Rattus norvegicus: one gene and its partner. The protein of the gene in region 1 binds, or shares a complex with, the protein of each later gene. Links are inferred from orthologs where the notes say so. Each region holds a gene or a part of one and is shown in the gene's direction. Other genes may lie near its edges. The genes, in order: Anks6 and Anks3.

Region 1 (3,809 bases):
GTCATGATATTTCACAGGCAAAATTAGCCCTGTTGTTCTGTGGCCCTGCTGTTCTTGATATTGAGAGTCACGGAGTTACTCCATGCAGCTTGGCTGGGGTGGCTGCTGGGCCAGTTAGCACAGTGGTACTCTATAGGCTCCATCTTTCTGAAGCACCTCCTTCCTACGCCACCTGCTGCTCCTTGGGACAACTCCGTGGCACAGATGCTGATGTTAATGGGACAGCCTGTCTAGAAACATGCATGCTAGCTCACATGGAGGTCACTCACTGCTCCTCCCAGGCAGCCCAGAGCCAGAGGTGTCCCTCATGGCGTTCAGGAAGGTGCAGGAGTCCTGCCCGTGAAGCCCAGCATGCTGACTGGCTTTAGGGAAGGTCTGATTGTGGGCAGCTGCTGGGCCAAGTGTGGTATGAGCCTGTGGAGGGAGGGAGGGGCGTGCACTGGTGGGCGTGGAGTCACAGCACCAGGTCAAGGGTCAGAGCCAGTGTGAACATGTCTGATGGACGGTTGGCTAGACAGTAGTCCACAGACTGGTAGGGCACCCCACTCAAGTCCTTAGTGTCTGGAAGGAAAGGACAGATGTCGTTGGCTTTTCTGGGGGCCACAGTCATTACTTCCAGAGCTCAGTGGTTCAGTGTCACAGGGTTCTCTGACCTCATACTTAGCTCATTGTAGTTAGATTTTAGAAGTTTCTTTTTCAAATTTTTATAGAGTGAACTTTTTCCAAGGCCATACTTTTGATTAACCTAGGTAAATACACCCCACAATGTTTGCAGAAGTCTGAGGTGACAGCTACCCAGGAGGGCTGTCACATAGTCCCCTGCTCCCAGCTTCTGCCCCATGATTTTTAAAGCTAGCCTGCGCTCTGACCCCCTGTGGCTTTAGAGTTCTGTTAAAACTTCTCCTTGGTTGATTCTGGAAATCTCTGTTTACCCAGATGAGGAGAAGAGGCGACCTGATATTTTCCACGCCCTGAAGATGGGTAAGTGCTTCAGAGAGCTTCTGGATGTTGCCGAGCCCAAGCCCCACCCTCCCTCCAGCCTGCCTGTCTCACCGATTCACCACCGGCACAAGGAATCCGATAAAGAAATGTGGTTTTGTTGTTCGCTTTTATTTAAAAATATTTTTTTAACTTCTGTGATGTTATAATTTACTCTCACCGGGGAGGGTGGGCCCCGGAGGCCTGTAATTTATTAGTGTTCTGTGCACAGGCTCTAGAGCACTCTCCCAGTCCCTACCATCCCACCAGCTAGATGTACCTGGCTCTTTCTGCGAGCCCCAGTTTTGTTATGACTGAAAGACTCTTTAGCCCAGAGTTTCCACCTGCCTGTGTGCGTGCATGTGTGTGGGGGGGTGGGGAGGGGGAGGAAGAGGCACTTGTGTGGCACTCCATCATGCGGAGGTCAGAGGTCAGGTTCACCATTGCTCACCTTCTTTTCTTACCGTCCACCCAGAGCCAGGCCAGCAAGCTGCTGGTATTTATTCTCCTGTCTCCTACCCACCTGTAGGAACGCTCAGATTATAGACACCTACACTACATGCCATGTCTGTCTTTCATGTGGGATCTGGAGATTCAAACTCAAGTCCTAAAGCTTTCATGGGTAGCACTTTTACCCATACATCTCCCAAGCTCCAGGATTTCCTCTTGATGCAGACACCACCTTCGGGCAGCCCTCCTGGATTCCCGTTCACCATCTAGACCCTTATTTTCTCTCTTCAGTCCTGTGGCCCTTCCTCACTCTCCCTACTCTCTGAGACACAGATAGCACCTGTGTTTGTTCATCCATCTGTCATAGGTAGAGGGATCTGAGTAGGGCTCCTTCTGACCCACCTTACTGGCCCCGTGACCATAGCAGAGGCAGAGTGAGCCATTGTTCATCACGAGAGACAACTGAATAAATGATCTTGTGGTGCCAGGGGCTGTGCATCACCTGGACTCCTGCCGTTTGCAGGAAACTTCCAGCTGGTCAAGGAGATTGCTGACGAAGACCCCAACCACGTGAACCTGGTCAACGGGGACGGGGCGACCCCACTGATGCTGGCTGCTGTCACGGGACAGTTGCCCCTGGTACAGCTGCTGGTAGAGAAGCATGCAGACATGAACAAGCAGGACAGCGTGCATGGCTGGACGGCCCTCATGCAGGCCACCTACCATGGGTCTGTGTCTCCCACCCCCTTCCGCATGAGGCCAAGCAAGTGCTCTGGCTGGGGCCTGGGGTGTTCTGACCCAGGATGCCACCTGTAGCCAGCCCAGGGCTGTGAGGACATTGAGGCCTGCAAAAAGATAGAATGAACGTGGGCTCCATTCGGCCAGCCTCTGTCTTATCCAGGGCACACGCCACCCTGCCCTGGCTGTATAAACCCATACAGCGGGTGCACGTTAGGCAGAAAGATTAATTTCCCGTTTGTTTCCAGCTTAACCATGATTGGTCATTTGGCATTTTCACATGATGGATCAGAGACCTCCATTAAGCATCCCTTCCATGATCTGAGCAGTGGCCACAAATACCTGGGCTTTCATGAGCTCACACTGGCGGTCATCTTGACCTTCCCCTTTAAAGTAATGTGATCATCCCAGCTAAGTGGGCTGTCACTTCTGCAGGCCCCTCTGGGTCTCCCCTTGCCTGGTTCAGCCAACCATGTCACACTCCTGTATCGGTTCTCTTATCCGATGAGCCTCAGATCCTTGACCCTGCCAGAAAGTTCTGTGGACAGGTAGGTGTGGTGGCTGAGCGCTTTGCTCTGGGATTGTATTGTCATTAGGGAGGAACAGTAGGACTGATGGGAAGCACATTCGCCCCTGACCTGCTGAGTGACAGGGTGTGATGGGCCACGTCCCACTTAAACACTGGAAGGCTGTGTGCCCCGGTTAATGTTGGCAGCCTTGTTGTCCGGGAACATAGCCACACTTTTCCCTGTCACTTGCTGGATTAGCCAGTTTTCTGTCACTCTTAACAAAATGCCCAAGGCGGTTAATTTATAAAGAAAAGGTTTAGTTTGGCTCATGGTTCTGCAGGTTGCTATTCGAGATAGAGCAGTCCTGAGGCTTCCAACCTCTGGGGAAAGTATCCACGGCATGGGCAGAGGGCAAGTGTCTAAGAAAGTGCTTAATCCAGGAGGCAGAGCCAGAGGCCCCTAACCCGCCCTGAGGGCACATACACAGCGACCTCTGTAAGGCCCCCCTCTGATAGCCCACAGCGCCTTCCTGTGACCAAGCCTTTGCATATGGGCTGTAGGGTGATCAATCCCCACATGAGAGTAAGGAGTCTAACTGCGTGCCTCTTTGCTCCCCAGAAATAAAGAAATTGTAAAGTATCTGCTAAATCAAGGGGCTGATGTTACTCTTCGAGCCAAAAACGGATACACGGCCTTCGACCTGGTAATGCTGCTGAATGATCCTGGTGAGTCAGCCTCCATACCCTTCCTCCCCCGGGCACCGGAGCCCGCCTCCCTTCACTGTGGAGTCTGTGCTGATTCTTAGAAGTCTGTCTCAGGGATCAAGGGCCCACACCACGCTTTTGGGTCTCTACGCTAGCCTTCTTCCAGCACTAGCAATCCCAGAGTTGGAGAGACAGGGCAGACAAGGGCATGCGACTTTGCAGGCCGTCAGGACCTAGAACCATCCTGTGGTCACAGTCAGAGATACTAAGTGACTTTGCAGGAAACATCAAGGGCCTGTGACAGGGAAAGCTGAGTGGAGAAGGAGGCCCATTCTTCTCTGGTGGTTGTTGGCCCTGCTGTCCCCCTCCATGCCTCCCCTGCTCTGACTGGCCCTTTTCCTAAGGTCCAGGGCCTCCAAAAAGGGGCTGC
Region 2 (4,444 bases), on another chromosome or scaffold:
AGGGAAAGCTGGGAGAGCCTTTAGTGGAGCATTTGTCTCCATGTAAGAAGAACACGAGTCCAATCCCCAGCATTGAGAAAAGGAATGAGATGGCTCAGCAGTTACGATGTCCTCGTAACTACTCTTGTAGAGGATCGGAATACAGCCCTAAACCACAATTACTTGTAACTTCAACCTCAGGGAGAGCCGATGTCTCTGGTGTCCACTGGTACCTGCGCTAGACTACACATATACATACCCACCTTCACACACATACATATAATTACAATAAAACTAATAAAATCAAAAATAATTTTTAGAAGTTAGATCCATTATACGATTCTGTTTGTCATCATTCAAATGAGTCCCTATAATCCAGTTCCTGGCTCAGCTCCACCCTTTGTATCTTACCCTAAAAAAAAAGATGCTCAGCCTTCAGGGTTTCGAAAGAGGGACTTTAGGATTAGGGGGTGAGGGCCTAGCGAACCAGGCAGATCAGCTAACGGTGTCGAACCGGAGCAGCATCAGGGGAGTGTGTGGGGGCTTAAGGTCTTTGAATATTGTTTTTTTTTTTCTTTTTCTTTCTTTTTTTCGGAGCTGGGGACCGAACCCAGGGCCTTGCGCTTGTTAGGCAAGTGCTCTACCGCTGAGCTAAATCCCCAACCCCGGTCTTTGAATATTGTAAAAAGGACGTGTGCTTGGCGGTCCTGAATTGGGAACCATAGGTGAAGACGCTTTTGGTATACGCAAAGGATGCTTCATAACAGGGGCTTTGGCAGTACGGTACAGAATCACCAAAGTGAAGGGGGCCGCCCAAGACTGGTCGTCCTTTAGGTGTGCAAGACCTTGAGGTTGAGGGAAGGTCTGACTCGCAGGGGGAAGAGCATGAAGGAGCTGAGAAGACCGAGGGGCTCAGTGTTTCTCCTCAAAGCCAGTTGGTCTCGCCTCGCTCTGCCCCGCCCCGCCCCGCGCCGCGCCACGCCAGGCGTCGTTGTCAAGGGGACTGGAAGGCAGCGGGACAAGCCGGCCTGTGTTAGAGCAAAGGGGAGGGTCGACTCCCTGCCACCCGCAGCTGGGACCAACACATGGTCGCATAGGTTTCCGCGGTCTCCTACTCGCCTCGTCCGCTCCGCTCGTCCACTTGCCCTGAGCCCGGGCTAAGCACAGCTACCCAGCGCAGCCCGACAACCCGCCTCCTCGCCTCTTCCTCGCCCGGCACGGCCCGCCTCTCTGTCTCAGGATTGGCTCCTGAGCAATGAGCGGTATCTGCCATCTCATTGGCTGCTATGGGATGTCAATAACAGAACGCCCGTCGCCTTCCCGGGGTGCTCTGCGCTGCCCGACAATTACTTCCGGGGTGGGCCGGGCGCAGGGCTGTTGGCCGGTGAGGGAGCGTGCAGCTGCTGCTGGAGGGTGGCGCGGGAACCTGAGGCCTTGCAGGTAGGCCGGGCCGCGGCGGGGCCCTCTGAGAGGCGGGGCCCGAGGCGCCCCGCGGCCGCCTTGACGGTCAACCCTGGCGCTTGCCTGTCACAGGGTCTGGGGACGCGGGCCCGGCTCCGTGTTGCTAAACTGAGGTACCTGCCAGACTATACAGTCACACGGGAGCCAGCGGTCGTGCACGGTCGTCGGGACCGCTATAGGGCCGGAACCGCGTCTCACATTTGGGCTACAGGGGCTCCCTCGAGGCCTTCACGAACCTCTTGAAGGAGTGACAGTTGCCTCCAGAATAGATTTTTTTTTTTTAAACGAAGACTTAAAAAATTTAAGAGTAACGTCAGTGCTGTTACTGAAATTCTGGAAGCGAGGTGCAGAAGACATACAAACCTTTATTTTACTCGAATCGATTTTTTGGGTATTGGTTTTTTTGAGATTGTGGGCGTGTCTCGCTGGGTAGACCAGGCTGGCCTCGAACTCAGTGAGGTCTGCCACCAAGTGCCGAGATTAAAGGCCTGAGCCACTACGCTAGTGGGCTGTATGTTTTTTGAGTAAGCATCTCATGTATTCCAGGTTGTCCTTGAACTCAAAAGTGGTCCTATTTTCTCAACCCCCACCCCCACCCCCAAGAGCGGAATTACAGGTGTGAGCCCTTCCAGGGTTCTGCTTATCTGCTAAAATTGCACCTTTAGGCCAGCATGTGTCCACTATTGGTTCAGACTCGGTTTCACCAGTGAGGTTAGGTACTACTTGAGTTCAGGCGTTGCAACATGAGAAGCTAGTGCTTCCAGAATGCAGGCCTTGATTTTCACCTCACCAGCCTACACACATCACTCACCATGAGGCTTGCAAGCTGCTCCCCAGATTAGTGATTTGTACGTTGTCCTTTTTATAATTCAATTTTTAAAATATGTCCTTGCAAGCTGTGTATATATGATATTTATCACTAAGATAGCTCCTCAACCAGAAAGACAGATCTTTCTACCCCCCCCCCCCCTTTTTGGCACTCACCAACACAGAATAATGCTAGAGTGTTTAAAAGCAGGGAATTAGTACTTTCTGGGTACACACTTCCTTCAGGCTTCCTCTGGGTTCCTCTTGAGTATGGATATTATGGTGCTCTGTGTCCTTGAGGCCACTGCTGCAGTGGTCTTGACCCCCCTAACCCCCACCCCTGATGGGACCCAGGTAGGCTCAGTGCCAAAGCCCAGGTCTTCCCATCCTTCTATTCTGCTCTTGACTCTGATAGATCAGATTAGGGTCAGTTACAACCTCAGAGTAATAACCTTACCAGAGCACTGTGATTCAGTCCTGGAGGGGTTCAGCCACTTAAAGTAGTTTGAGGTCACTGAGGTGGCCCCATGGATGCGTAGTACCAGTGACCAGTGACTGAGTATAGAGGCAGATGCCTTCAATCTCAGCAAAGACTATCTATGAGACCAAGTCCAGCCTGGTTTATAACTTGAGTTCTAAGTTATCCAGGGATACACAGTAGGACCTTTTCTCAAAACAAAACAGTGGCCATTGCACATGTGAAAGTTGAATGTGAAACTAAGGCCCTACTCACAGTAAACTGCCATTATCTCTTCTCTCTCCCCCTTCCCCCCCAACACTTTGCCTTGCTAGGGCTTGGACTCAGGACTCAAGGTCTTATGCAGTAGGGCACCTGACATCTCCCATCTCTTCCTGTTCTGTACTAGCTTCCTGTGCTCCTAGACGTAAGAGTCTGCTAGAAGATAAATGGCTAGTCTTTGGTTTGAGTAGGCTTACCCAGAATAAAGCACTCCTAACCATACACTTGCCCTCCTTGTGGTCATCTTTCCTACTTAAAAGGGTTGTGTGGGTGGGTTCCTGCTCAGGTAGCATTTGCTGAACATCAGGATTGCCTTCTGCAGTCTACTAGGGTTTTCTTTTCCCCTGCCCTACTTGTCCTCCCCCCACCCCACCCCCTTTTTTTTTTTTTTTTGAGGCAAGTTCTGTCTGCCCAGGCTGTTTTTTTGTTATTTTTGGTTTTTACTTCTCTGAGGGTTTCACTATTGTAGTCCTAGTTATCCTGGAACTCAGTCCTGTTTCCATCTCCCCAAGTACCATAATTAAGTCGCATCACCACATATAGCCTTCCATGTGGTTTGTGGAGATGCAAATGCATGACATTCCTGACCTTTATGTGTGTGTGATCCCCTGGAGGCAGCTGTGAATTGCCTCATATGGATGCTGGGAATTAAACTCGGGTCCCCTGTAAGAGCAGTACGTGCTCTTAACTGCGAAGCCATCTCTCCTGCCTTGGTTTGTTTTAAGAAGACTTGAAATTCTGTGTATGCATGTATCTTGGGGGTAGTATGTGCACACACGAATGCAGATCCAGGAAGCCAGAAAGGAGTATTGGATCCGCTGGAGCTGTAGTTACAGGAGGTTGTAAGCCACTGGACATAGTAAGTGCAAGGAACTGAACTTGGGTCCTCGGTAAGACCAACCCCTGAGCCACCTTTCTGGTCTTACTTACTCTTGCGTTTATTCAGAGACGATCTCTGTGTAGGTAGACTGGCCTAAACTTGTTGTATAGTCCAGGCTGTCCTTAAATTCATAGTCTCCCTGCCTTTCTTCTACCTTCCCAGTGCTGGGATTACAGAGGTATGCCACCACACACAGCTTCCGTGCATTTTAGCAACAACCTTTTATACACACATGTCCATAAGTGAGGAATTAGGAACTGGAGAAGCTAGACACAGAGCTCAATTTTGCCGCCCACCCAAATTCAGCAAATAGTGCTAAATAACCCAACTTGCACTGTTTTGCTACCAGTGAAAAGGCCATCAGACTCCTGGAGAATCTGATGCAGACAGAGCCTGTGGTATGGAGCAGGTATGCAGCAACACAGTTAATGGCTCCATAGGTGTTTCTGTCCTCTGGCTGGCCTCAAACTGCCAGCAGCTGTGTGATGTTAGGAGGAGGCTAAGTCAGCCTTAGTGGCTTCAGTTCTTAGGAATCTGAGGTGATAGCCTGCTGTTGGTAGGAGTTTTTCATCTTTGGA

The links.
Region 2: the proteins of Anks6 (region 1) and Anks3 are in contact, whole or in part, in a crystal structure (PDB 4NL9), measured with the Homo sapiens proteins. The link is inferred for Rattus norvegicus from reciprocal best matches to the Homo sapiens genes ANKS6 and ANKS3. Residues at the interface, in NP_775822.3 of Homo sapiens: Glu796, Gln797, Glu798, Val799, Asp800, Glu802, Ala803, Thr806, Leu807, Asp811, Glu814, Leu815; in NP_597707.1 of Homo sapiens: Lys441, Tyr442, Thr470, Leu471, Phe472, Gly473, Pro474, Arg476, Lys477, Arg484.

The regions. Positions count from the first base shown.
Region 1 is NC_086023.1:66,132,499-66,136,307, reverse strand, and holds part of Anks6 (ankyrin repeat and SAM domain-containing protein 6), read left to right. Parts: intron 1-936; coding exon 937-981; intron 982-1,951; coding exon 1,952-2,156; intron 2,157-3,293; coding exon 3,294-3,400; intron 3,401-3,809.
Region 2 is NC_086028.1:11,120,209-11,124,652, forward strand, and holds the start of Anks3 (ankyrin repeat and SAM domain-containing protein 3), read left to right. Parts: upstream 1-1,352; 5' UTR 1,353-1,419; intron 1,420-4,444. UniProt on the Homo sapiens protein: May be involved in vasopressin signaling in the kidney.